Coturnix japonica: one gene and its partners. The protein of the gene in region 1 binds, or shares a complex with, the protein of each later gene. Links are inferred from orthologs where the notes say so. Each region holds a gene or a part of one and is shown in the gene's direction. Other genes may lie near its edges.

Region 1 (4,422 bases):
GAACGTGCTCCCAGGACATGGCATGGGGAAAGCACGCAGAGCTTCCTGACCCCATTACACTTCCTGGAGCCCACTCATCTGAGGTAAAGTGAGGGCACACAGGTGCACAGGGAGAGTCAGGCTGGAGCCCTGCGGCAGTGAGGCCACAGCACAGGCAGAAAAGCAGGAAGATGGAACAGAATTTCCTATCTATGAAAGAGAGAAAGGAGAAAAGCAAGAGCGCCTCTGCCCCAGGCCAGAGGCCGAAGAGAGGCGACCTCCTCTCCCAGAAGGGTCAGTACCACGGACAGCTCACCTGATGTCGGGCTCAGGACCACGGACAGCTCCCCCAGCCGCCCCATAGGGCCCCATAGCGCTTCTACTCCACAGCTCGGCCCCCTTCCTCCGTGATCCCCCATACACAACACCGCATACCCCTCCGCAGCCCCCAAATGAAGGCAGCTCCAGAGCCCGACAGCACACTCATTTCATCACGTATTCACTCCAGTGTCCCCCCACTCATCCTCACTGCACACACATCCCCCGCACTGCATGCATCCCTGCTGCCCCACTTCACAGCCCTCTGTCCAGGTGACACGCTGCAATTGCAGATCCCCGTAACCCCTGACCATGAGTCTGACCCCTCTCTCTGGGTGTCCCTGTGCACTTACACCACCTGTGTCCCTCCAGCACGCACACCTCTGAGCCCTCCCTATGTACCACATTGCACGCGTGCCCCACAGCCTGCTTATTGTCAAGCATAACCACCGAACACACATCTCCATGTCCCATTATGCCAACACCCCACTGCCATCTCCCATCACACATGAATATGCCCCATTGTGCTCACACGTCCTGCCCCACTGCCCACGCACCCTATACTCAGTTGCATGGTGTAATGTGGGGTACCCCACACATCAACGTGCCCTGCTGCACACTGACCCCACATCTCGCTGCACACACATCCCGCACCCCATCACACACACTGTCATCCCACGGCGGGCAGATGCTGCGGACGGTCTGCGCTCCATCCTCACCCCATTAATACAAGCACACACCTCCCCCCTTCCTCACCCCCATCCCCCACGCAGCGCTCAGCTCCCCGACCCCCTCGGCCCCTCGACACTCACCGGCGGGCGGCGGCGGCCATAGGAGGAGGAGGAGGAGGAGGGGCAGGAGCAGCAGGGGCAGGCGGAGGAGGGGTATCGGTGTGAGCGGCCGCCCCCGCCCGCCGCCCCGCCGCCCCATCCCACCGCGCCGGCTGCCGAGGGGCGCGCGGCTCCAGCAGCCCCGCCGCGCAGGGGCGACCATGACGTCATCCGTCCCGCCCCCTTTCTCCCTCCCCAATTTTCCTATTGGCGGTTCTGCTTGTCACTCACAACCGGCGCGGCCCCGCTTTCTGCTCGCCATGATACCTCCCACACGCTAGGGGGCGCTGTCGCACTCTAGGCCTCGCCCTTCCCGGTCATCCAACTTCCTACCGCGTCGGGACCGCGTGCGCAGCACTTCCGGTCCGGATCCGGTACCGGGCTCACCATTACCGCCCCCGGTACCGCCCATGGAGTTCCCGGGCGTGCTCTTCCCTTCTTACTTCGGATCCGGCCCCACCAGGGACGAGGGGCGTCCGGCTCCGGCCGCTGGATGGGGGGAGCGGGAAGAGGTGCTGCAGGCCGGGCCTGGACGGCGGCAGGTGAGGAGTAACGGGGGAACGGGATGGGGGAGGCCTGGGGGGCAATGAGTGAGGGGGCAGTGAGGGTATTGAGGGCACTGAGGGGGCTCTGAGGGCACTGAGGGGGCTCTGAGGGCACTGAGGGGGCTCTGAGGAGGCTCTGTGGGCACTGAGGGGGCTCTGTGGGCACTGAGGGGGCTCTGAGGGCACTGAGGGGGCTCTGAGGGTACTGAGGTGGCTCTGAGGGCACTGAGGGGGCTCTGTGGGCACTGAGGGGGCTCTGTGGGCACTGAGGGGGCTCTGTGGGCACTGAGGGGGCTCTGAGGGTACTGAGGGGGCTCTGAGGGTACTGAGGGGGCACTGACCCTCACCTCCATTCCCCGCTGTCCCTGCAGGTGCTGCCGCCGTTCGTGCCCCTCCGCAGCCACGAGGGGGAGAGCTGGACGCCGGCTGAGCCCGCGGCGGTGCCGCTGCTGCCGCCCAACGTGGGTGAGGATTGAGGGGGCACAGGGGGGGCTGAGAATGGGGCTGCCACCTGGTGCTGGGACGCACTCGGCAGCCCCCCCCCCCCCCCCCCCCCCCCCCCCCCCCCCCCCCCCCCCCCCCCCCCCCCCCCCCCCCCCCCCGCCGCCCCCTGCCCCCTCACAGGCTGCTCGGTCCCCAGTGTGACCGCTCAGGATATTCTCTACCACGGTGTCCTGCATAGAAAGCTGCAGACTGGGAAGTCTGGGGCTGCGCTGGACTTTGCCAAGCAGGTACAGGGCTTGGGTGCTGCTGAGGAGACAGGGCTGAGCTCCACCATGACATCACTGCACAGCCCCACACTGCTGTCCCCACGCAGCTAGGGCACTTCTTTGTGGATCATCCTGAGGACGCCTTCAGCTCCCTGGGGCAGCTGCTGCACAACAACTTCCACCTGGGAGACTACAGCCTCGGGGTCAGTGTCCTTGGTGATGCTGAGGGGGGCACTGGTGTACCCCCTCCTTTCTGTTCATAGTGGCACTTCTCTCCTCCCTGCAGAAAGGCAGTGCCAAGGACACAACCATCCGTATGACATCCATGGTGAAGAAGATCAACAATATGGAAGCCAGGCGGTGAGTGCTGCTGGGTTGGGAGGGCGGTGGGCTCCGACACCTACCTGGCACTGATTGTCCCCTCACAGTGGCTGCCCTCGGCATCCGTATGCCAACCACCTGCGCTTGTTCTCTCACCTGTGCCGGGACTGGCTCTTTGAGGTGCCACTGGGACTGCTGGCCGACTGCGTGCATGAAGAGCTGCTGCTACAGTGGACCAGACTGCTCTTCGATGACAGTTCCACAGGGGGAGCACTAGCCTGGCTGCCCCCTCAGGATGCAAGCAGTGACATGGGATGCCTGGTGTACCCTGGCGGGTTGGCCATGAACCACCTCTGTATCCTTTCCTATGATACTTGGGGGACTCTGGGACAGGGGAGCACTGTGTGGCAGTGCCCTTAGCCTGCACTCCAGATTTCCAGAATGTGGTGCTGGAGGAGCAGCCGCGGGCCCAGGGGTTGCCAGTGCAGTTTGAGCTCAACGGGCGCATCCGGCAAGTAGCTGCTGCCCGGGTGGATGGGCAGGGTGAGTAAGCCCTGGGACATGTGCACTGCATACAGAGATAGTGGCATCCCTGCTCTCTCATCTGCCCTCTCTCCTGTCTCCTACTAGACTTTGTTGGCGTTCGCTCTGACTATTACTGTGGTGTCTGGAGGATGTCAGGCAAGACAGGGGCTGCCCCCAGCTCACTGCAGGTCATCCACACTGATGTGCCAGCTTCCTGCCTCACCGTCAGGTGTGTGGTGGGAATACAGAGCTCTGGGAAGGTCCTCAGCTACAAGCCTTCCAATGTAACGCCATGTCTCTGCCCCACAGCCCACACCTGCCTGGGGAGCTGTCAGTCTGTACGCAGAGTGGAGCTGTCTATCTATGGAACATAGAGACAGGGTGAGTTGGGGCTCTGATCCCCAGTGTTTGGTGCTGCAGGAGGCAGGGGTGCCCCACAGCAAGGAAGAGCTCTGTCCTTTTCCCTACAGGCTGCAGCGGCTCCGCCATGACCCCCAGACCTTGTTTTTCCGGGACCACTCACCCTGGCGCTGGAGTGACTTCACTGCTCACCCGCGGGTGCTGAGCTGTGCTGACCGCACTGGCATCCTGTGCCTGGATACTCGGGTGAGCATGAGAACGGGGTTCAGGGTGGGCTGTGGGGTGACCTATGTCAGCCCCATGGTGCTGACAGCACCCTGTTATGCCACTGCAGGCCCCCACTAGATGCCACTTCAACTTCTTCAAGGTGGGTGAGGAAGCCAAGTGCCAGAAGGGTGAACGCGTGGTACTGCCCATGTACCTGGGTAGGGCTCACCCCTGCCAGTACCTCGTTGCCACCCAGGTGAGTCCTCCATGGCTCAGTGTCCCCAGACCTCCCCACCCACCTCGTGCATCTGGTTTGGATGCAGGTGGGGGGCACCCTGCTGAGTTTTGCCCCCTTTCAGTTTGCCGTGTACTTGCTGGACGAGCGTTTGCCGCTGGTGCCTGTGCTGAAATGGGCACACATGATGAAATTCCCCCCTCTGTTCGCTGATGTTGTGCCGGGAGAGTCTGGAAGGAGTCATAAAGTGCTGCTGGGCACCTCTCATACTCAGGAGCTGCTGTTGCTGCAGTACACAGGTGAGAAACCAGGTAGGGGAACGCAGATTCCCCTCATGTCCACATCCTGATCATGCTGCCTCACCAGCTCATTGTTGACATGTCTTACTGCAG
Region 2 (4,555 bases), on another chromosome or scaffold:
TCAGAGCAAGGGCCTGCCAGCACCTGAGTTTCACTGCAGAGCACCCAGAGCCTTTCATACATGTATACAAACAGCTGGCTTAACAGCAGGCAGGTTGCCCCACGACCTACACCCCATCTCTCCCAGCTACAGAGCATTGGGACTTTCTGATGCAACTTTCCTCCCCTCTCCAAAACCAAAAGGATCTTCCTCAGATCAAATCTGCTTTTCAGCTCTTGTGATACAGAAGAGGTTTCCTCTCCCTTTCCAGTGTCATTATAGCAATCCCAAACCCGGTCAAAGCACAAATGAATCACTGAGACTCGCCATACAATGATAGTGTCCGAGGTCTTCATCCCATGCAACAGGATGGCCACCAGCGTGAAGACCAGCATGAGGGGTCCGTAAAGCTCACCTGCAATCTTCTACATGTAAAGAGAGAGATGAGGCTTAGTTAGTGCTCCTGTCTTCCAGGCTCTCCACCCTGAGAGACATAACGAGCATCTTGGAGACTTTTATCACCCGAGGAGCATCTGCAAGGCCACTGCTGACAGAAGCCACACAGAACAGACTGTGATGAGTCAGAGTGGTGTTCAACAGGATGCAGAAATGGGCAAAGTGAGGTCTAGAGTTCTACAACTGTACCAGCGTTAAGGGTAGCAGGAAGGTAAAGGCAGCGCTGGCACAGGCTGTGCAGGGCAGCGGTCACAGCAGTGAGCTGGCTGGAGTTGAAGAAGCATCCGGACAATGATCTCAGCTATATGGTCTGATTTATGGGTGGTGCTGTATGGAGCCAGGTGAGCCTTATGAGTCCCTTCCAACTCAGGATGTTCTATGATTACAATTCTATGAGAATGGGGTTTGGAACAACCATAGGAAAGGGTTTACTGATACTTTGAGGGAGGTGAACATCTAACAGACTTGGATCCTTAATAACAGGCTAATTACATCTGAGGGGTCTCTGTGGAACAGTCACTCAGGCTGTGGGGTCTGGTTCAGTGAGAGAGAACTCACCTGTGGGAAACTGATCATCTTGACGGGCACCATGGACTCCAGCAACCTGCATTACGGCACAGCGGGGAACGACATCAGGACAGTCATTAAGAAGCAACAGATCCCGTGCACCCGCTGCCCTGCCCACCTGGTGCGCACTTGGACGGGCTCCACGTCGAAGTATGGCCGCAGGATGTCGATGTTGGCGTAGAGGCTGAACGCTTTGGACGCCTGTCGCTTCCCCACCTGCCACATCTGCGGACAGAACGGTACGTGCAGCGGCGGGGCCGGGGCCGGCGGGGCTGTTGGCGGCTCGTGAGCCCACTCACCTGGTCGGCCACCTGCCGGCCCAGCTGCCCCTGCAGCCCCTTCATGCCCAGGAACTCGCCGTCCTCTTCCCCGCCGGCCCCCGCCTCGCCCTCCGCCTCCTCGTCCTCCTCCTCCTTCATGCGCTGGTGCATCTCCCCCATGTCCTCGAAGCTGGAGCCCGACGTGTCGTCCATGTTCTCCATGTCGATGACGGCCGAGCCGCCGCCCTGCTCCGATGCACGGATCGTCAGCGCCCGCTCGGGCCCCTCTGTCCCCCCCCCCGCGGGCCGGCCCCACCTGCACGTTGTCCTCAAAGCCGCCCCACTCGGCGGTGCCGCTCCTGCCGCCCGCCGCGGCCATAGCGCCGGTAACGGGGGACGGCAACGCGGATGTGACGGTCCGGCCGCTCCGTGTCTCGCGAGAGCCGTCAGTTCCGCATGGCCGCCTTACGTGCGGCGGGGCGGGGCGGCGGCGCGTCCTTCCGTCGGCGATGGCGGCCCGGCGCGGCACGGACGAGATGCGGGAGCGCGTGGTGCTGGGCGAGTTCGGCGTCCGCAACGTGCGTGGGGCGGCGGGACGCGGGGCGGCTCCCGCATCACCCCCCGCTGCCTCACGGGCTGCGCCCCCCGCAGGTCCACACCACTGACTTCCCAGGCAACTACCCCGGGTACGACGACGCGTGGGACCAGCGGCGCTTCGAGGAGGTGAGTGGGAGCTGATGGAGATGATGGAGCTGATGGAGCTGCTGCTGCGGGGCCCCTTGTTCGGCTCCGTCGTGACGCGGCGCGGTTCCCGAGCAGGGGTTCCGCGTGGACGTGGTGCGGGAGGAGGACGGCGTGCTCGAGTTCGACATGGTGGGCATCGACGCGGCCATCGCCAACGCGTTCCGCCGCATCCTGCTCGCTGAGGTACCGCGGGGCTGGGAGACATGACGAGTGGATGGTCCCCGTGCGGTGCCCTGCTTGGCGGCTTATCGCCTCGCTCTGTCGTCCCCCCGAGGTGCCGACCATGGCTGTGGAAAAGGTGTTTGTGTACAACAACACGTCCATCGTGCAGGACGAGATCCTGGCGCACCGACTGGGCCTTATCCCCATCCGGGCCGACCCGCGGCTCTTTGAGTACAGGAATCAAGGTGAGGGGCTCGGGTCGAACAGCGGTGGGGAGGGTGGAGCCCATAACCAGGAGCTGGGGTCACACCGTAGGATCATGAAGGCCATCAGGTCCAACGATCCCACAACATACAGGGACTCCTACATCTGACCAGGTGCTCAGAGTCCTGCCCAGCCTGGCCTTGTAAGTCTGCAAGGACAGGGCATCAGCCGCATCTCTGGGCAGCCTGTTCCAGTGCCTCACCACCCTCATTTTCACCACTCTCACTCAGTAATAGACTTTTTCTTTATCTCTAAAGTAAATCTACCCTCTTTAAGCCTCAAACCGTTTCCCCTTCTCCTATCACAGCAGACCCTGCTGTAGAGTCTGTCCCTTTCTTTCTTGCATGCTCTTCCTAGGTGCAGAAAGGCCGCTTCCAGGTCTCCCTGCAGCTTTCTCTTCTCTAGGCTGAGCAGCCCCAGCTCTCAACCCATCCTCGTAGGAGAGATGTTCCATCACTGGGTCATTCATGTGTCCCTCCCCTGGATACACTTCAACAAAGCAGAATTCACTTCCATAAAGATACTGTTTTGCCATTTCCAGGAGATGAAGAGGGGACGGAAATTGATACTCTGCAGTTCCAGCTGAAAATAAAATGCAGCCGGAATCCTCAGGCAGCCAAGGAATCGTCTGACCCAAACGAGCTGTATTTCAATCACAAAGGTGAGAGCTCCTTGTGCCTGCCCTAAAAGTAGGTGCAGCTTTCTGCTTTTTCTCTTGTTCATTTTCTTCTTTCTCTCTCTTGGTGTTTTGCCTTGTGAGCAGAGACAGCTCATTTCCTCACAGTATACATAGCTTGCTTGTGCCATCTCCTATTCAGGTCAGCAACCTGTTTTCTGAGGCAGCAGCTGGCTGATGCTCGTGGTTTCTTTTGGCAGTGTACAGTAAGCACATGACATGGGTTCCCTTGGGGAATCAGACAGACCTCTTTCCGGATGCTGACTTCCGACCTGTCCACGACGACATCCTTATAGCACTGTTGAGACCTGGGCAGGAAATAGATGTGCTCATGCACTGCGTCAAGGGTGTAGGTGAGTGCTGGGTCTGAGCTGGGGAGTGGGTGTGCTGGTGCTTGGACTCGAGCACAGCTGTGTGATGGGAAACACTGGAGAACTAGCTTGACCCCAAGGCCTGTCCTCATCCTTAATTCTGAACTCTTTGTGCAGGTAAAGATCATGCCAAGTTTTCTCCTGTGGCCACAGCTAGTTATCGACTGCTTCCTGACATCACTCTCCTGCAGCCTATCGAGGATGAGGCAGCCGAGACGTTACAGAAGTGCTTTTCCCCTGGAGTCATTGAGATCCAGAACGTCAAGGGTACTTTCTTTCCAGCTGTAAAGTGCCTCGTTCCTAACAAGTCTTAGCAGTGACTGAATAGAGACAGTAGAGATTGTAGTCAAACCTTGTTGGGAAAATAACACATTGCGATGTTGTCTTGCTGATCAACAACAGTTGGTGCTGTTTTGAGCCTGGTTGTAGTGGCTGAGTGGCTGTCACACACAAATGTTTTTAGCAGTGAACTGAGATCTCCCTGAAATGCTTATGTGTTGCATGCCTGTCTGTAGAGCCCTGTGCTACTGTTAGGTGTCTGGGTAGCGAGCTTGCTCTTTGTAACAGCTGAGCACGGGGAGGACTTGTGTCCTGCCCAGGAGCACATACAGGCTTTGTGTTTGGCTTAGAACTGTTCGAGGAAATGAATTCTGCCAAGCTGGAGTTTCATGTTAGGGATGTGCTAATTATATGTGGCTTTGCTGCCTCTGCTGCTTGAGGGGTAAGTACTTTTTGTGACCCCAAGGTGCTCATCTGCTGCCGGTGCCCACCTTGTTTTGTCTTCTCCTTTTAGGAAAGAAGGTGGCAAGAGTAGCCAACGCACGGTTGGACACGTTCAGCAGGGAAGTCTTCCGACACGAGGGTCTGAAAAACCTGGTGCGCCTGGCCAGGGTGCGAAATCATTACATCTGTAAGTAGCCTGTTTTGTGCAGAGCAGAGTGCCCAGCCCGATTCTGCTTTGTACAAACAAGCAGGGGCTGGCCAGTGTGCATACCTTGGTCTCAGTCTTTCCCTTCTACTTGGCATCGTTATTCTTCCTATGTTTGTATTCCTCTGGGGAGCTACTGAGATAGTGG
Region 3 (3,773 bases), on another chromosome or scaffold:
ACATCCTTAAATTACAAAGTCAGGAATTTTTTTATACTTGAATCAATGGTGTTATGAGTTAATCCTCATTACTTGCAAAATACTGGTATTTACTGGTGCAGTATTTTTAAGATTCAAGCTGAATGTTCAGGAGAGCATTCTTAGTCCTAGATAGTGTCAAAGCCAAAGGATAGGGAGGAGTTGTCTGTTTTCATTTTACTTACTTCAATAAAACTGGTCTGTTTGGGAAATTCTTGAGGCTTTTTGTTGTCTGCTTGTGGTAAACTCAAATACAATTGATATAAATAATGAAAACTATGTGTTTATTGATTAGACAGATTGAATTCTTACAGGATAATTAACTATCTGCATCTTTGTATCTTGAATGCTGTATTGAATTTCAGCTTGGGTTGACATACCTATTCCTCTGGTGTTTGCTTGTGGCACTGTTTGGATTCAAGGGGAAAAAAAAATCATAGAATCACAGAATGGTTTGGGTTGGGAGGGACCTTTAAGATCATCTCATTTCAACCTCCCTGCTGTAGGCAGGGACACCTCCCTCTTGACCAGCTTGTTCAAAGCTCCATCCAGCTTGGCCTTGAATGCTTCCAGGTAGGGGGCACCCACAGTCTCTCTGGGCAACCTGTTCCAGTGTCTCTCCACCCTTACAGTAAAGCATTTCTTCCTAATAATAGCTAGTCCAAATCTTGCTCTCTTCCAGTTTAAAAACATTTCCCAGAATTCAGGTGGCTCATCTCATTATTGTTAAAGAAGCCTAATTATTTGTGTTCTTGTTTTAACTCTTGCTAAATAAGGCATAATTTTTTATTTTTATCTAGTTTCTCACTTGATTTTAATGTATAGTGTGCCCCGGTGGTGCAGTGGTAGGAATGCCACCTTGCAACACTGGGGCTCGGAGTTCTAATCCCCCCTGTGGCACAAGAGGTAGAAGTGCTGCTCTGCTACACAGAGGCTCGAATCCCGGGGGTTGGACTCGATGATCTCTAAGGTCCCTTCCAACCCGCACGAGACTATGATACTATGATATTTTCTAAAATTTTTTTTTTTTTGGGGGGTGTAAATTTTCAGTTTCCGAGTTAGGCATTCAGCGTAAGTAGTATGGCAACAATACCTGGCTTTGGTGGTGGTGGCAAATTAAGAATTTGTTAGCATAACATGAATTGTACTTGGAGTTAATTTTCATAGTTACTTTAGTAGTTGGGCAGTCCAACTTAAAAACAAAAAACAATGCAAAAAAAAAAAACCAAAAAAACCCTGACAACAAAACCCAGTGAATGCCGTCTCCTTGGGGATCTTTAAAATGTTTAACTGACTTGAACTGTTTTAATTGATTCCTGAGTTAGTTTTCTGCAACCAAATGGATAATAGCACCTTCTTCGTTCTCTAGGCCTTTCTGAAAATTTTGATACATGCCACAGAGCATTGCAGACTGTCGCAAGATATGTTCCTTCGTAAGTATTTAATTCCTTGGTTTCTTCTGCTCTTTTCTTATGACAATAAAGCTTGGATATAAAGCTCAAGAACATATATATATATATATATAAGGTATATATATAAAAATATATATAAAAATATATATATTTTTTTCTTCTCCATATTGGAAATGCAATACTTAATTTAATTGAATGACTCTTCCTAATGCCCAGTAACTGATAGGATGTTATATCCAATCGTAAAATGCCAATAGACATCAGCAGCTGACAATCCTGTTAATAGCAATAGGAAACACAAGGAAAGTCATGCTTATAGCAGCTGACTTGAGGTAGCTTTTAACAAATCCACAGTAAAAGTTTACTGCCTGTTGTCTCTGCAGTAACAGAACAAATGTTATGTAATCAGTTATCTTAAAATAACATTACTGTGAAGTAAGAATAAACTGATTCCAGTCTGTTTTTGTAGTGCTGGAGCTTGTTCTCATGATAACAAACTGTATTTTTTTTTTCCCCCTTAATGCAGAACACTGCAGTTTCTTATGCCAATACTTGTGGAAAAATTTCCTTTCATTAATAAATCAGAAAGAACTCTGGTAAGAACTGTGAATATTACATCTATTTGTTCACTCACTTCTTAATATAGGAAAACACTCTACCGTATAATGATTGATTTGGTGGTATTTTATGCAGATTTTTGAATGTGTCGTTTAAAACTCTTGTAATTTTTTAACTATGGAAACATATGTCCAGGTGTGCCTGTATCATGAAAGGTTGTCCAAACATGCTTAAGTTCCCTGTGCATAAGCATTATGCAGCTGTTTAATGAGATAATTGCATGTCTTTTTCCACGTGATTGTTTTCTTAATCAGTGCACAAGATGGCCTTCTTTGATAATAAGTCTCAGAGTTGTGTAGTAAGGATAATGTGGAATACCTGTCTCAGTGTAAAAATTAGAAAGTATTCTTTGGAAGAACAAGGAATTTGATAGGCAGACAGAAAGCAATGGATGATTTAGATGAAATCTATAGGATAGGTTATTGTGTAGTTTTATTACATGTCTGTTACGATGCTCCTGTGTGGTGGAAAGCAAGCTGGAGACTTTGAAAAGTTACTGTTCCTGTATGGTCTTTATTTTCACTCTTTACAACTTGATATGTTGTCATTTGCTTGCTCTACTCATTAAAGTCAGATGGAGCTGTTTTGAACCTCTCAAGAACTACTTCTTCCCTCCCTGCACTGAATACTTGGCACTTCTTGCTAGATTTTTTTTTTTTTTTTTTTTTAAATCCAAATAGCTTTGGGCATCAAATCTGTATCTGCAAAATGAGGTAGATGTTGCTCAAAGGATGTTAAGGGATTTATTTATCTATTTATTTATTTTAAGTATTTCACTGAGATGCGCATTGTGGAGAAATTTTTTCAGGGTGGGACTCAAGTGGAGCATAATTGACATGTTGACCGTGCATTGTTGCTGAATATTTTCAGCTTATAGATTGTCATTAAACTGGTGCTGTCTGTTATATGCGCTGAGCAATATAGCCTGTTGAAAAATTGTGTGTGTTTGTGTAATTAAGGGTTGCATTATATTACATACTTACAAAGAGACTGTGGTGCACTTAAATGTGTCTTTTTAGCTGCTTGTATGTATTAGCTTGACACTTCTACTCTATAAAGTTGCACTTTTGCCATTTGCGTTTGTATATGTGTGGGAGTGCATGTTCACTTACAGAACTTGTTGGTTCTAATCTGTTTGAATTGTAATCAGAAAAACTCTAAGGATGTTTAGCTGTGGTACTTAGAATTGTCTGTTTATTATAGTAACCAGAAATGAAGATCTCTTGGCCTCGCTTCAAACAGTGCTGCTAGACCTGATTCTAGAATTTTTGAGTAATATGCTTGTTGTTTTCATGTTCTTGGGAAGGTTTATGCAAAAAAAAAATCATATGGAAATTGATGACTTATGCTTATTCTGCTGGAGATACTTGGAAAAAGGTACTTTTCACCTGTATCTGTCTCTTTAAATGACAAGTTAGGAAATATATTTTGTAAAAATCCTTGACATCCTAGACTTTCAGTTAACATTCTTATAGATATCTCTTAATTTTGTGTTATAGGAATGTTATGTTCATAACCTACTACGAGTTACAGTGTACCTTCCAACACTGAGGCTTCAGATTCTGGAACTTATTGTTGAAAAGCTGCTAAAGTTGGATGTGAGTTTGCTCTGTATAGTCTTTCAAAGAAGAATTACGTTAAAATACTCTTCAGTATTAAGCTTAACAAAAATTATGTTCCAGTAGAACTCACGATCATCAGAATAGGGCTGTTGTGGTTTAACGT
Region 4 (4,511 bases), on another chromosome or scaffold:
GCAACAGCTGCTGGAGGAAAACAGCAGGTACTGCCTGCCACTGTTTACCACCTGCCCTCAGCATGCTCACTGAGATAAAGCACGGGTGGGAAATGATAGAGGACAGACAGCACAGTGTCTGAGCTCTTGTCCCATGTATTAGCCAAGCAGGAGGGGACATGCGTGTGGCTGAGGCCTGAGCACTGCAGCTGTTGCAAGTAATGCCCGCAAAACCTTCAGAGACTTTGGGTGGTGTTTTTTTTTCTTAGAAAAATGCAAAACCAGATGTTTTCTAGCTCCTTTCAGCTCAAAGGGCAGTAGAATAGGTCTTAGTCTCTTTCCTAAGCTTTTGCAAAGGATGGTGCTAGGTTTCAAGAAGATACCCACCATATGGCGGGCTGTCTCTAGACTTAGTTCAGCATCAGCCATGAAGGATGTAGGATGCAGGTGCCCTGGCTGTTGACCAGCAGGGACTGGTCCAGCTGGATTCTGGGTTTCTGCAGACTCCCGTGTGGCAGCAGCAGCTCCTGTGCTCCTACCGAAGGCCATGACAAACACCGGAGAAGTCTGTGGAGGTCTTATATGCTGCTTCACTCAGCTGCTGTGACCTGTTGTCATCAGTGCCCTTTAGGATTGCTTGCATGTCCCCTGTCCTATCATTTAGTGTTCTCTGCGTGCAGCTCTCCTTGTGGGAGCTGTGCCATGCCATACATGCGTTAATGGTGGTGCCTCATTCCCACTGTCAGCTACTGCAGAGAGACATGGCTCGGAAAGCAGCCGATGCTGGGGGTGCATGGGACACTCCTGCCATGGCTCTGGGTCTCCGTGCTGGCCGCCTGCACGTCAGCATGCACGTGTACAGCCGGCAGGGCTCCCAGCTTGTGCTTTTCCAGCCGCCGTGTCCATGTCTGTCCTCAAGCATCATTAAAACAAGCAAATCTCCATGGCTGCGGTGTTTCTTTGGGACAGTGGGGTGACAGATCCACTGATGGAGGAACCAGTGCGGTGCAAGGAGCGCATCAAGCCCCATGGCAGTGGTTTGGTACAAGAGCAAGATAAAGGCAAACCAACAGGGCTACGTGCCAAATACCTGGGGGGATTTTGGGGTGTGATTTGTAGGCCTGATAATGGTGTTGGTGCAGGCAGGAGCTGCAAGCCTGCTCCGTAGAGATAAGCACCTCCTGCTTATCTGTGTGTGTGCCACCACCATGGGGCCGTGAGGGCGGGCAGGCTGCTGGCACACTGAGGGACTTGGGGATGCAGGCAGTGAAGGATGCGGCCCAGCGGGATGTGGGCACTGAGGGGATTGGTGCTGAGGGCTGCAGCACAGCCAGACGCGGTGCAGGGGGATGCTGTGCTGTGGGACACGAGCACTGCTGTCATGGCACAGGGCGCTGTTACATGGGGCGGGCACGGCACTCAGGAGCGATGGCTGCCATGGCCGTGGGCGGGAAGCACTCGGCAGCACGCGCTCCGCCTCGCGACCGTCCCGCCCCGCCCCGCAGTGTCCCGGCAGCCGGCGGGGCGGGGCGGAGCGGAGGAGGCGCACGGAGGCAGCATGGCGGCCGCCATGGAGCAGGGCATGGCCCACGAGCCGCACCGATTGAGACGGCGGCAGCGGCCCCGCAGCGGAGTACGGCGAGACCTGACCGCCGCGCACATCGAGTCCTTCAACTACGCCATCAGCGAGGGGGTGTACCGAGCGCTGCAGGTGCCGGGGGGGGCGAGCGGGCTGCGGGGATGGCGCTTGGTGGAGCTCGCCCTGACTTGTGGGCTGCCGTGTGTTGCAGGACATCCCGCCCTTGGAGCTGGCGCTGAAGGACGGCCGCGTGGCGCTCACCGTGGTGGGGGTCGCCATCTCGCCGCCCTTGGTGCCCAAGGGGACGCTGTGCCACGAGGTGAAGGTGTTCCCGGCCGAGTGCCGCGGGCTGCGCAGCACGTACCGCGGGAGGCTGACGGTGAGCGGGTTTCTTACCTCAGCTACGGCTTCGGGAAGCGTTCAGAGAGCTGTGTCCTGCGGTTATTATACCGGGAACAAAACGAGTCCAGCTCAGTCTGCTCACTGTTGGCTTTGTATCGTTTTAGGTTGACATCAGCTGGTCAGTGAATGGCATTCCACAAGGGACCATTAAACAGCCTGTGGGGTATATTCCAATCATGGTGAAGTCCAAATTGTGCAACCTTTATAATCTTTCTCCCCAAGAGCTCATCCAGCACCACGAGGAGGAGGAGGTAACGAGGATCTTGTGTATCAGGACAACATGCAGTATATTAGGCCAGTGTTAGGCTTGAGTGTTTTTATAACATAGTAGAAGCGTTTTCTTATTTTACTTGAAATTATACTTCAAGCGCATTAAAAGCCTTTTCTTTCTGACAGGAAATGGGGGGCTACTTCATAATTAACGGCTTAGAGAAGGTTATTAGAATGCTGATTATGCCCAGGCGCAACTTCCCTCTTGCACTGTCGAGACACAAGTGGAAAAACAGAGGTCCTGGCTTCACAGAGTACGGTAAGCTAAAGGCCTTGCTACCACATCCCTCCAGAAGCTGCTCATAAACAAACAGGGATGACCAACTAGAGCTGCTATTTTGTTGTTGCTGTTGCATGGTGTTCATGTTTTCAGGTAAATTGTACTACATAGGAAACCAAGTGGTTGGTAACACCATAGTGATGCATGAGGCAAGTGCTTGCCTTTCAGGTGGTTTCTGAGCTGCCTGTGCTGATCTACTGAATCATCTCACACCGGCTCGGACATCTCACATAAGTGCTGTCTGTATTTCTTGCTTAGCTCATGTTGGCTTTTGCTTCTGTTAATTCCTGCAGGAATAATGATGCACTGTGTTAAAGAAGAGCACAGCGCAATAAACATGAACCTTCACTACCTGGAAAATGGCTGCGTAATGTTGAACTTCATTTTTCAGAAAGAGCTGTTCTTCCTTCCCTTGGGATTTGCTCTAAAGGTAAACAAATAATACACATTACACTCTTTCTGTGTTAAATAAATGCAGAAGTTTCACTAAGCATTTCTATTTTCATGAGTAATGAGAGGCAGCTGATGCCATGTTAAGTATTTTCGGTCATATTTCCGATGTTGGTTGAAGAACTGTAGAGCAAACTGAGCCTGCATGTGTGATGCAGTGTGCAGGTGGAGCAGAGGAAGTGCATGCAGGCTTATGCCAAAGTATTATGGCTTCCTGCTAATGAATGTTGTGGATTAATAGTTCGTGGAGGATGTAAGGGCTTGTAACCTAACCAGAAAGATCCTAGGAGTATTTTTATAATTCATTGACCATTTAAGAAACTGTTAGGTCAGCCTCGACTATAACAGTGTTAATCATTAAAGTCAAGCTCTCATATAAAAGGAAACCAGTAAACTGGTTCTCTTCTTTTTTTAAAGGAGAAAAATAAAATGCTGTTTTTGTTTGGAACTGGAAACACTTAAGAATTGGAAGACAAAACCAGTAGTGCCAGTTTGAGCACATTGGGTGCAGTTAAGCTGCTCTTTAAGTAGCAGGGAAAGCTTGATGTTAGTCAAGCCTTTCCAAATTTCTCCATTAAAAACAGCAAAGCCTGGGTGCTTCAGCTGTGTGTTACACAGCAGCTAAGGGTTAGGGCAAATTGTGGCCTGTGGCACCACAGCTTGTCTGGTCTCAGGGAATTTACGTGTTCTTTCAGCCTCCTGTGTTCAGGACTTAAAATTAGTCAGCAGAGATAGGTAATTACCCTGTGTTTTAATAAGCAAGGGCATTATACTGACTTTAGCTTACAGGATGTCATAAGCTAAGCAGGCTGCACTGTCTAAAGTTTGAATTCTTCCATGAATATCATGCCATGGGTTTGCATGCCCCCTTCATCAGCCGTTTAATAAAGAAATCTGTCTACGTGTCTTTTTCATGCCGTTCCCATTTTTTTTTTTTTCTGTGAGCTTCTTGAAGGCTTTTTAAATGTAGTGGAGAGACAGTTTGCTTACAGATGGGGGAGGTTTGTCAGCCAGTTACTGGTGAGCAGAATGGTCACTTAAACCCTGACATAAACAACTAGGAAACATTATAACACCAAGTGCTCAGAACACAGGATTTAAGCATGAGATGTAGAAAATGAATTGCTGAAGCTGAAGTGGATTGTAATAGGCTAAGCTGTCTTTTGACTTCTGTGGAGATAAGGAGTTAACTTGAGACAAAAGAAGCCTTTTAAGATAGAGGATGCAAGTTTGTTTGTTTGTTTTTCCAAGGGTTTTGTTAGACTGGAACCACTTGTGATCATCACCTCATTCATATCCACTGTGCTGCTCTTGAAGTACATTAATCCCACAGTATTTTTCCATTTCCAGAGGACCGAAAACCTAAATCATTGGGGTACCCAACCTCTGCTGTTTTATGGCCAGATACTGCCACGACTGTTCTTCTGATCTGATGTGCATCTGTCTTTCAGGCATTAGTTAATTTCACAGACTACCAGATTTTTGAAGAGCTGGTCAAAGACAAGAAAAACGACTCCTTTTATGTGAACTGTGTTACTGAGATGCTTAGAG
Region 5 (2,650 bases), on another chromosome or scaffold:
AATCACTCCCCGGGGCTGCAAAAATCGCTGTCTTTTCATTAGGAAACGTTTGCAAAACCTCCTTCAAACAACCTCGCCGGTTAAAACGAAACTATTTGCTCCTCTACAGTTCAAGTTAGGTCTGCGCGGAGGGTCAGCAACCCAGCGGTCCAAAACACAGGCACGAAAGGCGTATTAACATAAGCTGTGCATTAAGACTTTATACGCCTGACAGTAATGGCTCTGCGCCGCGCGCCGTATCAACTCGCAGATGCTCCAGCAGCAAAATACAGTATTTTGGGTGCATCCCCGCTCTGCCCAAGGACAACCGTGAAGCAAGAGGGCACTAAGGACCGACAGCGCTCGGGGTGACGCTTTAACCCAGTCTGTCCCGAACAGCAACGTGCCGCCCTCAAGTTACAAGCATCGCATAGCGCAGCACTCCGCGCGACGCTCACACGGGAGGATCGCACGCGGCTTCACGACGCATCCCCCGCTGCAGCCCAACTTCCCCGGCTGGGGGCAGCCAGTAAAGCTGCAACGCGACGCTCGCGGTGCCACGGCCGCCTCCACCCTCCGGGGAGCGGGATAGCGCCTCAAGGACGGCTTATGCCCCGTTTGCTTTCGCTGCGCGCGGCTCGCCGACAGACCGAGGAACGCTACAGCGGGCAGCCCTGAACCCCCCCACATCACCCCCCACAGCCCCCAGACCCGGAGTTCAGCAACTCCCGACTGACCTGCCGCCGCCACGGGACCGCTAACCTCGCTTACCCCGCTGACCACGGCAGCGCTCCGCAGCCCGGCTTCCTCCAAATGAGCGGGCAACGCCGCGCAAATCGGCGCCGAGCGCAGCTCACGGAGCGCAGCCCCTGCCCGGCTCCTTCCCCTTCCAAAGGGGAGCGAGGACACGGAGCAAACCGCCCCAAATTGGGGACGCCAACACAGCCGCGAGACGGACCGCGCCTGGCGCTACCAGTGCGCGCACCGGGAAGGGAAAGAAAAGGGAGGAAAAGGGAGGGGAGTGCGACGTGCTGCCCCGTCCCACAGCGCTGCCGTGCCCCGCTGGTTGGCGCCGGGCTGCAGCCACCAGTTGCGCTTCCACCCCGCGCGGCTGCGGTACCTCGAGCAGGACGCGATGAAGAAGTGCCTTCTGCAGAAGTCCGGGTGTAAAGCAACAAGTGAGAGCGCGGAAGGAAGGAAGGAGGGAGGGAGGGAAGGGCACGGCGCCTCCTCGGCTCGGCTCAGCCCGCCCCGCCGGTGTCTCCGCTCTGCGCTCCGCCGGCCCCGGCTGCCACCACGCGCCGCGCACGCGAAACGCGATCAGCAGCCCGCCCCGCTCGCAAACACTATTGAGCCGCGCAAGGAGCCGTAGGGCGGCCGCTACCATCCGCCGTCCTGTGCGGGAACGGGGGAGCTCCAGCGCCGCTCTGCATCCTCACGGCTGAGCAAGAACGGCTCGCACCGCCCGTGTCCCCCCGGTGCAGTGGGAGCGGCCGTAGGGCTGCGCTCGGGCAGCTGCAGGAGGAAGCGGCGCTGTGCGAACCATGATCATCCCGGTGCGATGCTTCACGTGCGGCAAGATCGTGGGCAACAAGTGGGAGGCGTATCTCGGGCTCCTGCAGGCGGAGTACACCGAGGGGTGGGTGTCATATTAACAGCACACGCTAATACCTTGCTTTAAACTAAGCTCAGAGCAATCATTGCGTTGCTTAGGAGCACTTACGAGCGGTTCTGACTCGTTTTGTATTTATTTCTTTTAATCGTGTTGTTATTTGTTAATAGAGATGCCCTGGATGCCCTCGGATTGAAGCGCTACTGCTGCCGCAGGATGCTCCTGGCACACGTGGATCTGATTGAGAAGCTGTTGAATTACGCACCGCTGGAGAAATGAGAGTTGATTGACCCAGCCACCAGCTTCTCCCAAGGAAATAAATGAAGGCCGACATCCACTTCACAGCTACAGCTTACATATGTAGATGTTTCTCTTTAATTACATACAGGTTGTTATTGGTTTCTTTTTGTGAACTTTAGGATGCTTTTGCCCGTAAAAAATAAATGTGTTTTATGAAATACAATCATTTGTCTATGTAAAATGTTGAACTAGAGGAAGCCTCTGCCTGTGGCCTTCCTGGAGTTGCTGGGTAGAGTTCAGCATACACTTCCATCTCACTATTTCCTCACAGTGGTCATTTTGAGGTTAGAAATACAGTGTTTGAAGCTAGGGCAATCAAGGGGGGTTAGAAAGAGAGCAAAGTTCCAGGCTCCAGAAACAGCACAGAGGATGTTTGTTTGCTATGAATGAGGCATTACTCTTAGTAGGTTGCAGTGCTAGCGGAGCTCATTTTTTCACTGAAGTCAGCCTATAGTGTCTTGTTAAAAATTGGGGCAGACTGGCAGCTCCATCACAGAAAACAGTAAATCAGGTGGCGCAGTGCTCCTCACTTAGGTAAAATACATCTGAAGGCAATGGATGTGAGAATTAATGCATGTAACTGTGAACAGGATCAGAGTCTTGCCAAACACCTGCACTGCTCTGTTGCTGGTATGAGTGCAAGCTTCCCACTTGTCAGTCATTTCATTGGCTTCATATAGGATGTATGTGCAGCCTGGGACTGCCTGGCCAAAACAACCCACCTTTCCACTGCTTGCTGGATCAGACTTCTCTGCTCAA
Region 6 (3,589 bases), on another chromosome or scaffold:
GCACCGGCTGGAAGCACTGATTACAACAGCAGCAACTGTTGTAAGGAAGGCAGTGTGGGTTAAGTGAGTGGTCTTGTGTGCCTCTTTGAGTCAGCAGCATTTAAGGAGGGTCTCTGCAGTGAAGTGTGCTCTAGACCCATGGACACTTCCTTGGCATTCTCTCTTGGAAGAGGCAGAAAGCAGTGGGGGGAGCCCTCAGTAATAGGGAAAGCAGCGGTATGTGGGAAGGCAGTTTGGAGAATGTTTTCCCTGTTGCTTACTAGTAAGTTCGTATTAATCCAACTGATTCATTTATCAGCCTAATTTCTTTCCAGAGAAACAAAAAAGACGTCGACTGGGGCTAGAAGTTATTTTTGCAGTCTTGGATTATGCTGGCTGGAAGGAAAGTGTAAAAGCATGGAGTTGTTTGGCGAGACAGGTGAAACAAATTGTAATGTGAGTGTAACTGATGTAAGGTGCTAAAAGAGGAATGTATGTGTCAAATCTCCTCCTGCGGGCAGTTGACAAAGTGACTCTTCTGTAGTCTTTGTCTTTCATGATGGCAAGTGGAAGAGTGGGCTGGCCTGTACTGAGATCTGTGGCTGTGCTTGGCTGCAGCATGCTTTCAGTGGCAGGAAAGAAGAAATTATTACTGAGAGAAATTCTTAAATTTCCAGTATTATCATTAGCTGAATTACCAGGTGAGGTGTTTATGCAGAAAATGCTGTTCAAATGTTTGGATAACATTTACTGCCTGTCACTGTTCTCCTTCCAGGAGGAAAAAAAACCCAACAACATTGTTTGGTCTTCTGCTATTAAACATATATTGGTTGCAGCAGATTTGAGGATGAGTGTGCTGCAAAAGGGATGTGGTGCGTTGTGCTGTTGTGTCGTGTTCTTCTTTGATAACTTTGGTGGTAACTTCTTCAGAATACAATGTGTTCTTAAAAGCCAAGTCAGAGTGCCTGGGGACTGATAAATACTTGCTTGTGTGTTGGGAGGAGGACTCTGTTTTCAGGAGCTCCATCTCCAGGCAATCCATGCTCAGAAGGTCTCTAATGTCTGGGGTTTTTTTTTCCCCAAAAGTAGAGGTTTTAATTTTTCTTTTAAGCCTTGTATACTTACAATGAATCAATTTAGTACCGCTTGACCCATTTTGCTGTTTTATTGCTGCCTCTACATACTCAGAAGGCCCGAAAGTTAATGGATTAAAACTGAGAGTGTTGTTGCATATAGTTAGGAAAAATGGTACAATACTTCAACTTTGCCTGTAGTTTTGCTTTTGAGAACACAACTTCAGAGTACCTTGAAATATACAGGGCATCTTAATCACTTTATAGGAATATCACTTCCCTGTTTTCAATTGTAAAATACTGTAAGGTCTCCACTGCCGAGTTAACTCCACTGAGTTAATGGAGTAAGGTAAGTATATGAAATACAGTAGTGTTTAATTATGCATAGATTTATCCAAAGTTTTTCTTTTAAAAAGAAAATTGCTGCTTAAATAGTTCAGCCTGCAGTGTAGTGTCAAAGTCTGCCAGCACACCAAGCTGATTATAAAACTCAGTGCCTCCTCTTTACTATTTCATCTCAGTTTTTCTTGTTTTACCTTTTTGCAGTTCTGAGAAGCATCTTAACTGGATTAAGAAGGAGTGGAACTCCAGAAAGGACTGGTGGCCAGCCTTCCATTTTAGCCGCTACTTAGCAAAGAGGAATTGGCAGGAAAATGAAATCCTTTCGTATGAAAAAGCTCTGGTGGCTGGAGTTCTACTAGGAAAGGGTAATACTAAATGTTCTTTCACACTGTGTACACTAGAAAAAACACCTAGTTCTAGCCCTAATGAGATAAGATGCAGCTGGTCTACTCCCTGGAAGAATGCTGTTTCTTTCTTCTAGGAAAGACTGTGGTCTTTGAAGTTCTATGGGAGAAAAACATTTAAAATGGTTTGATATTCCTCATTTAGAGACATACATTGCATAACTTGCCTTATCCCAGGTTTGAGTTCAATTTTATTTGGCCTTGTTGAGCAGTCACAATACTACAGACTCTGTTTATAACCTTGAAACCACAATTTCAAAAATATACAGCAGGCTCCTGAGGCTACAGAAAGTTTGCTCACTGAGCTACAGTCTAAGCAATGTCTTAGCAAATACTGAGGGTGAGGTGATCCTTAAGGACCTTGTGAGTGATGAAGCATAGAAAAGAGGAGGAAGGAGGTCTTGAGTGAAAATAGTCACTGTCCAATAAAAAAAAAAATGAAGATCAGGACTTCTATGGTGGTGTTCACTGAAACATTGATGAAATCAAGAAGTGGTGACGAAGTTCAGAATGAGAATATGGTGTGGAGAGCATAACTTATCTATTAAGTTTGGGCCTTTAGTTAATTAGAAGCTTTATTCTTTCAGTTCTGTACCTTACCTTCCAGACTCTGTAGAACAGTTTCTTGAGTTGAAAGCCTGTTTAGGTCTCAGTAATTTGATGCTGCAATTATGTTGATAATGTGTATGTCTTTGATTGTTTTATTACCTTATTTAATAGGTACTTGCATGCTTGTGTGTTACTTAAAAAGCAGAAGTGTTTTGTTTGCTTGTATGACAAAGCTGACATGGCTTTTTCTTCTCTTGCTTAGATTGCAAGTACTTTAAATACGTGTCACGCCAAGGCTGCAGAGCTCAGGTGAAAAAGTTTCGGACTCTCAAGAAATTTGTGAATAAGCACAGTAGTGCCTACCTGAGCATATCTGGTCTTTGAGATTCCTCTGTACAACTGTGATTAAAAGGTGTCTTGATGGTCTTGCTGCATTCTTTTTACCCTTTTGAAACTGGCTTTTTTTTTTATTGGCATTGGTCTAAAAGCTGCTCTAAAGAGATGAGCTGTCAACTCCAGTAGATATTTTTTATATATATTTCTGTTAAAAGCATTTGGTTTGTATTTATTTTGTAATAAAATAATTATGTAAATCAACAGATGATGCTGAAGAATTTCTTTGCTATCAGTTTTAGATTTCTCTGAAATACAAACAATCAGTAATTTCAGGCTTACCTTGAACTACTTGGTAATTATACTATAGAATCTGTGTTGGTGATACTGTGGAGTGAATCTTACGTTCAGTTGTATGGATGCTGATTTAAATGGCTGCTGGAACGTGGCTCAAAATCCACTCAGGGCTGGATGTGGCAATCCTAATTAGTAGGCTGTCTTAACCTATGAACAGTGTGTGATGCAGCATGAAAGCAACTTTCTCACTATACATGTTGCGTAACTTACTGTTTATGACTGATTTCCTAAAAATTTTTCTTCTTGGCCACCTGGGCACACTGTCAGCTCATGTTCAGCCCAGCATCAACCAACACCCCCAGGTCCCTTTCCTCTTCACAGTAATTCAGCCCCAAGCCTTTAGTGCTGCATGGGGTTATTGTGGCCAAAGTGCGGGACCTGGCACTTGGTCTTGTTGAGCCTCATCCCATTCACCTCAGCCCAGAGATCCAGCCTATCCAGATCCCTCTAAAAGGCCTCCCTACCCTCAGGCAGATCAACACCTCCTTCCAACTTGGTGTCATCTGCAAACTTACTGAGGGTACGCTCAATCCCCTCATTTAGGTCATCAAT
Region 7 (4,418 bases), on another chromosome or scaffold:
TTGGTTCTGATTTCTTCAGGTTAGAAATTACAGTGTAACACACTGCAGAAGTGACTGATCTGTCAACAAAGATAATGGTTTAGTAATTAAAAACACACTGCTTTCAATATGCAATTTATCTGTCAAATTCACCCGAGAATACATAGATAACAGTAGAATTGTTATTATACCATTGAGGGAAAAACTGACAGCTTCAAGATTAGTGTTTTCTCATGGTTTAGTGGCAGCTATTAGTGGTTTAGTGGCAGCTATTAGTAATATGTGGATGGTTGTACTGAATAATCTTTCAGGTCTTTTCTAACCTTGGTGATTTTATGATTCTATGTGCTTTGGAAGCAGGTGTGCCTACCAGCTCTGCAGCTGCTTCAGAGCATTACATCTGTTAGTCCTCAAACTTCCATCTCAGTACAGACAAAATATGTAATACGCTGAACCTAATTCAAGGGACAGGTCAGTTATCTGTCCTTTGTAAACCCAAAGCCACGCTTTTCTAAGCACAATAACTGCCTTACCCGGTCTTCACTACCTTAATGTTTACTTTTCCAGCATTGGCTATGATGGACTTTCAACCTTGGCTCCCAGTTTCTTATAGGCACGTGTTTCCAAAGTGGAAGAAGGTTGTAGTGCATCTCAAAGCCAAACAAAGGCACCAAAGCAGCAGCAAGTTGTACAGCACTGGACTCTATATCAGCTCAGAGCCTTTCACAGCAAGCTTTGTTCAGAACAGAAATGTTGGAGCTTCTTTTGAAACGAGCTATATTTCAGTCATGCAACAGCATAACCTGCTACGAGGGCAAACCAGCAGCTCCAGGCACAAGCAGCTGGTTACATGCTACCTATAAACCAGCCCCAGAAATCATTAACTCCTTAGGCACACGCCTGCTGCACGTAACAAAATAGGAACCTTTCATGGAAGAAAAAGCGAGACTTTGAGCTCAAAGTTCAGCTACCTCAAGTTCTGCCTGTAACAAGCAATAGAGCAAGAAAGCAAGCTGTCTATGTAGAGTGATTTCCATCTTAGCTGGGGGCTCGTCCGCTTCTATGGGCGATTCTCCCTTCTGTGAAGGAAGCTGTCACAGGAACGCTGCAAACGGGATGGCAGGAAACAACCGACACGTCGAGACACTGCGGCTTTTCTTTTCCAAGCAGGAAAGGGCAGAAAACGGAAAGGAGAAGTTAATGGCTGGATAGAAACGCTTCATAGCGGGGGGCTGGGGGGAGAAGGAAGCACAGCCAGAGCCACAGAGCCAACAGGGACAGCGCCAACGTGCAGATGAACTCAGCAGAGAAGCGAGAAGGGAAATTCAGGCCACGTAAACGAGGGTAAAAAGAGTCTAAAAAGAGTCCCGGAGCCAAACCTGCAGGAGCCACCCTCTGGAGACCCACAGCGAGCGGGAACCGCAGCCAATGCCCACAACCTGCGGCCGCCCATCCCCGCCCCCCTCACGGCACTCCCCGCCCCGTCCTGCTCTCGCGAGAGCCGAGCGCTATTTAAGCTCGGGGGCGGCCATTGCGCGCCCTTTCCGGAGGTGAAGCGTGAGGTGAGTGTTGGGTTGGTGATGGCGGTGCGCTGAATCCGCTGCCATCCGCCGTGTGAGGACCCGCTGTGAGGCTGGGGTAGAATCAAAGCACATCCTGTCGCTGAGCGATTCCTAGACGGAGCGCAAGGAAGGCCCTGGGGCGGGTGGGATGTGGGAAATGGGCTCCTCATGGCGGCCCGGGGCTGTGGTAGAGCGGCGGGAACCGCGCAAAATGTCCGCCCCGGGATGGTGGGCGGGAGGGGGCTACTGTGAGGGAGACACATACGTTCCTTGGATGTGAAAAGCTTTGCCTGGGGTAAAACATATTTAATTTCTTTCAGGGCAGATTAAAACATGAGTGATACAGATGAATCCCACACCTCTTGTTCTGATGATCCTGATGCTCAGAGTCTCGTATCCACTCAGAGGCGAAAAAGATCTAAAATACCTGAGCGTGCAGTGAATGCAAGGAAGAGACGTTTGTGCTCGAGGCAGAAGGACGCCACTCCTGAGGAGTCTTCAGATGAGACTAGTAGTACAAATACATCTTCATCTGAGGTGGATAGCAGCGATTCAGAAATGTGAGTTACCTGGTTCCTTAGAATCACTTACGAACAAGACTCATAAACGTATGTGCTCTGTTGAATGTACACGTTTCTTTTTCAGTGATGTTTCAGCTGCTCGGGGCAGCAAACGCTCTAGGAAATGCACTGCTCCCTCTGCGGAGCAAAAGAGGAGATCGCAGCCTTCAAGGAAACAAGCAGGAGCTGATGCACGAGTGTCTGATGGTGAAAGTCCTGACTCTTTGCTCCCTGAGAGCCCGGTGAGGCCACCTGAACCCTCCCAAAGGAGGAAATCCAAGCTCGATTTGAAAGCCATTTTTGCCTATCACTTCAGAGGAAGGAAGTTTAAAACTGCTGCGCACCGAAGATACAGGAGCGGTGTTTCACGGAAGACAAAGAGACGCTCGGAACCCCCAAAGAAGCGTGGTGGGAATCGGCCCATGACAGCCCCGCCTCAGGAGCGAAGGAGAAGGCTTCGGGATCCAGGCTTTCAGTTCCCTTTTGTTGAAAAACATTATGGGAGGAAACATATTCCCGTAAATATGGTTCTTAGCTATGAGGTGAGCCCTGTGTTTTGTGGGAGAGAACCAGCTGACCTAAGGCTGTCATTTAATGTTACAGTCTGGTTGATTATATAAATGGTTCATTTCTTTGTTTGTATTTAAGATCTATTCCTTTTTTTTGCAGCAAGCAGCTGCGAAGGGATATTTCCAGTATGTTGAAATGCTTAAAGCTGAAGAACACCTCAAAAAGGCTTTGAAATCCCTTGAAGCAAATGAAGACTTAGAAAGGGAATGTCTGACAGCGCGGAAACATAAATATTTAGATGACAAAGGCCCCATTTCTCCTATCCAGGAGACAAAGTAAGTTCATTTTCAGTAGTATAAAAGTTGCTGTTTTGTTCTCAACTTAAAGTCTGTGTGTTCAGCATTGCTGTCTTTATTGTCTGGCACGTGCATTATATTAATTGGTGAAATACCTCTTGGATTTTTCTGTAACTCAGTAATGGATTCTGTTGGCTTAGCACTGCTGTGTTGTGTGCTCTCTCCTCATCCTTAAAAGAGCAGAGAGAGAAAATAAGTAACAGCTCATGGCTTTAGATAAGGATCTTGTTCCACAGGCTCTCAGTGTAGCCTCATGTAGAAGTGGGAGCATCCCAGACCTGTAAGCTGTAGCGTTTCCATATGCATTATGAGGAAGTGGTGCTGCATTAGGAGAACAGCTTGTTTATGCTGCGCTACTGTAGAAGTACAGATTTGATTTGAATTTCCTGCCTTTCAGCAATGACGATGATAACTGCTTGGGCTCTGATAATCCAGAAGACTTTGATGTCAGAGTAGTGGTGAGTAAACATCCATAATTTGAAAACTATAACCTGTTTTCTCTTTTGAGGTGTTAAATAAGTAACAGATGATGCTTTGAGTACTTAATTCTTGAGCTTGGATCTGGAATTAACCAGTTTGTGTGGTTTTGGTGTGTAGTACAAGAGGAAATTGGTTTGAGAGAAGTCTGAGCTCTTTGGAATTATGTTGGGATGTGCGGAAATTGGGCAGTTCTCTGAAGCGTCCATAAAACTTCCTAAAGGAAGTTAGTAATAAATTGGTACTTCAAGTGTCTCCAAACCAGACTTGAGAATGCTGTTTTTTTTTGTTCTCAGGACAAAAGCTGTTTCATTATAAGCAGCAAAATTCCCAACAAGAAGAAGAAATCAAAGGCCAAAACAAAGCGAGCAAAGTCAGCTGGAGTGATTGAAGAAGAATGCTGCTGCTAAGTGATCCTGCTGAAATAGCACCTTCCGCAGCCTGGCTTGTGGAACCAGCAGGTCACAGAGCTACAGGACTAAGAGTTCCAGCTCTTGTAATTAAGCAGTGTAGAATAAACTAATTCTCCTAAATCCAATATCATAATCTCAAGCTGCTTTAAAACAACTAGCAGTGTGATGAAAAGTTCTATTCCCTTCTTCCCCTCCTCAGTCCAGAGTGGGGTCTTACGAAGGTGACTGAGCAGAGATAGAAGCCCTTCAGCACAACAGGGACTATCTGCTGATCTTGTAGCATGAATGGGAACTTGTTGCGGTTGCTCAGACTAGATGTAGGAGTGGGGTTCTGGCAGGGTAATGCAGTGAGGTGGGTGTGGAGTCCTGCTCATTCTGCAGTTCACGTGATGAATGTTTCTGTTCAACTGCTGAGTGACTCAGAAATGAACTAAATTTCAATTCTGATTAGAACTGGACCTACACATCTGAACAGTGAGTGCACTGCAGCTGCCAAATTGATTGCTGAGAAGTAGCTTTTGCCTGTAGGAATCTCAGCTTATTTGACCATGATTGATGATG

The links.
Region 2: TAF1C (region 1) and POLR1C share a complex: the UniProt entries of both Homo sapiens proteins name them as parts of the pol I pre-initiation complex. The link is inferred for Coturnix japonica from reciprocal best matches to the Homo sapiens genes TAF1C and POLR1C.
Region 3: TAF1C (region 1) and RRN3 share a complex: the UniProt entries of both Homo sapiens proteins name them as parts of the pol I pre-initiation complex. The link is inferred for Coturnix japonica from reciprocal best matches to the Homo sapiens genes TAF1C and RRN3.
Region 4: TAF1C (region 1) and POLR1B share a complex: the UniProt entries of both Homo sapiens proteins name them as parts of the pol I pre-initiation complex. The link is inferred for Coturnix japonica from reciprocal best matches to the Homo sapiens genes TAF1C and POLR1B.
Region 5: TAF1C (region 1) and POLR2L share a complex: the UniProt entries of both Homo sapiens proteins name them as parts of the pol I pre-initiation complex. The link is inferred for Coturnix japonica from reciprocal best matches to the Homo sapiens genes TAF1C and POLR2L.
Region 6: TAF1C (region 1) and TAF1A share a complex: the UniProt entries of both Homo sapiens proteins name them as parts of the transcription factor SL1/TIF-IB complex. The link is inferred for Coturnix japonica from reciprocal best matches to the Homo sapiens genes TAF1C and TAF1A.
Region 7: TAF1C (region 1) and TAF1D share a complex: the UniProt entries of both Homo sapiens proteins name them as parts of the transcription factor SL1/TIF-IB complex. The link is inferred for Coturnix japonica from reciprocal best matches to the Homo sapiens genes TAF1C and TAF1D.

What each region holds. Positions count from the first base shown.
Region 1 is NC_029547.1:8,327,125-8,331,546, forward strand, and holds the start of TAF1C (TATA box-binding protein-associated factor RNA polymerase I subunit C), read left to right. Parts: upstream 1-1,445; 5' UTR 1,446-1,537; coding exon 1,538-1,669; intron 1,670-2,043; coding exon 2,044-2,137; intron 2,138-2,296; coding exon 2,297-2,403; intron 2,404-2,489; coding exon 2,490-2,585; intron 2,586-2,668; coding exon 2,669-2,742; intron 2,743-2,810; coding exon 2,811-3,058; intron 3,059-3,135; coding exon 3,136-3,246; intron 3,247-3,333; coding exon 3,334-3,457; intron 3,458-3,537; coding exon 3,538-3,609; intron 3,610-3,698; coding exon 3,699-3,834; intron 3,835-3,922; coding exon 3,923-4,051; intron 4,052-4,154; coding exon 4,155-4,329; intron 4,330-4,422. Other genes in the region: TMEM8B (transmembrane protein 8B), read right to left, coding at 1,110-1,290. UniProt on the Homo sapiens protein: Component of the transcription factor SL1/TIF-IB complex, which is involved in the assembly of the PIC (pre-initiation complex) during RNA polymerase I-dependent transcription.
Region 2 is NC_029518.1:27,798,757-27,803,311, reverse strand, and holds the start of POLR1C (DNA-directed RNA polymerases I and III subunit RPAC1), read left to right. Parts: upstream 1-1,728; 5' UTR 1,729-1,771; coding exon 1,772-1,840; intron 1,841-1,913; coding exon 1,914-1,985; intron 1,986-2,081; coding exon 2,082-2,189; intron 2,190-2,280; coding exon 2,281-2,413; intron 2,414-2,973; coding exon 2,974-3,093; intron 3,094-3,308; coding exon 3,309-3,461; intron 3,462-3,596; coding exon 3,597-3,746; intron 3,747-4,272; coding exon 4,273-4,389; intron 4,390-4,555. Other genes in the region: protein YIPF3, read right to left, coding at 312-404, 994-1,039, 1,121-1,227, 1,302-1,508, 1,579-1,641. UniProt on the Homo sapiens protein: DNA-dependent RNA polymerase catalyzes the transcription of DNA into RNA using the four ribonucleoside triphosphates as substrates.
Region 3 is NC_029529.1:40,797-44,569, reverse strand, and holds part of RRN3 (RNA polymerase I-specific transcription initiation factor RRN3), read left to right. Parts: intron 1-1,387; coding exon 1,388-1,451; intron 1,452-1,956; coding exon 1,957-2,026; intron 2,027-3,547; coding exon 3,548-3,646; intron 3,647-3,773. UniProt on the Homo sapiens protein: Required for efficient transcription initiation by RNA polymerase I (Pol I). Required for the formation of the competent pre-initiation complex (PIC).
Region 4 is NC_029518.1:13,944,385-13,948,895, forward strand, and holds the start of POLR1B (DNA-directed RNA polymerase I subunit RPA2), read left to right. Parts: upstream 1-1,492; 5' UTR 1,493-1,537; coding exon 1,538-1,690; intron 1,691-1,769; coding exon 1,770-1,937; intron 1,938-2,064; coding exon 2,065-2,211; intron 2,212-2,356; coding exon 2,357-2,489; intron 2,490-2,803; coding exon 2,804-2,940; intron 2,941-4,411; coding exon 4,412-4,511. UniProt on the Homo sapiens protein: Catalytic core component of RNA polymerase I (Pol I), a DNA-dependent RNA polymerase which synthesizes ribosomal RNA precursors using the four ribonucleoside triphosphates as substrates.
Region 5 is NC_029520.1:8,951,688-8,954,337, reverse strand, and holds POLR2L (DNA-directed RNA polymerases I, II, and III subunit RPABC5), read left to right. Parts: upstream 1-1,440; 5' UTR 1,441-1,523; coding exon 1,524-1,618; intron 1,619-1,761; coding exon 1,762-1,870; 3' UTR 1,871-2,054; downstream 2,055-2,650. UniProt on the Homo sapiens protein: DNA-dependent RNA polymerase catalyzes the transcription of DNA into RNA using the four ribonucleoside triphosphates as substrates.
Region 6 is NC_029518.1:15,725,581-15,729,169, forward strand, and holds the end of TAF1A (TATA box-binding protein-associated factor RNA polymerase I subunit A), read left to right. Parts: intron 1-314; coding exon 315-435; intron 436-1,598; coding exon 1,599-1,759; intron 1,760-2,609; coding exon 2,610-2,731; 3' UTR 2,732-2,944; downstream 2,945-3,589. UniProt on the Homo sapiens protein: Component of the transcription factor SL1/TIF-IB complex, which is involved in the assembly of the PIC (pre-initiation complex) during RNA polymerase I-dependent transcription.
Region 7 is NC_029516.1:166,172,809-166,177,226, forward strand, and holds the start of TAF1D (TATA box-binding protein-associated factor RNA polymerase I subunit D), read left to right. Parts: upstream 1-1,431; 5' UTR 1,432-1,541; intron 1,542-1,861; 5' UTR 1,862-1,874; coding exon 1,875-2,101; intron 2,102-2,186; coding exon 2,187-2,643; intron 2,644-2,770; coding exon 2,771-2,946; intron 2,947-3,364; coding exon 3,365-3,425; intron 3,426-3,740; coding exon 3,741-3,854; 3' UTR 3,855-4,418. UniProt on the Homo sapiens protein: Component of the transcription factor SL1/TIF-IB complex, which is involved in the assembly of the PIC (preinitiation complex) during RNA polymerase I-dependent transcription.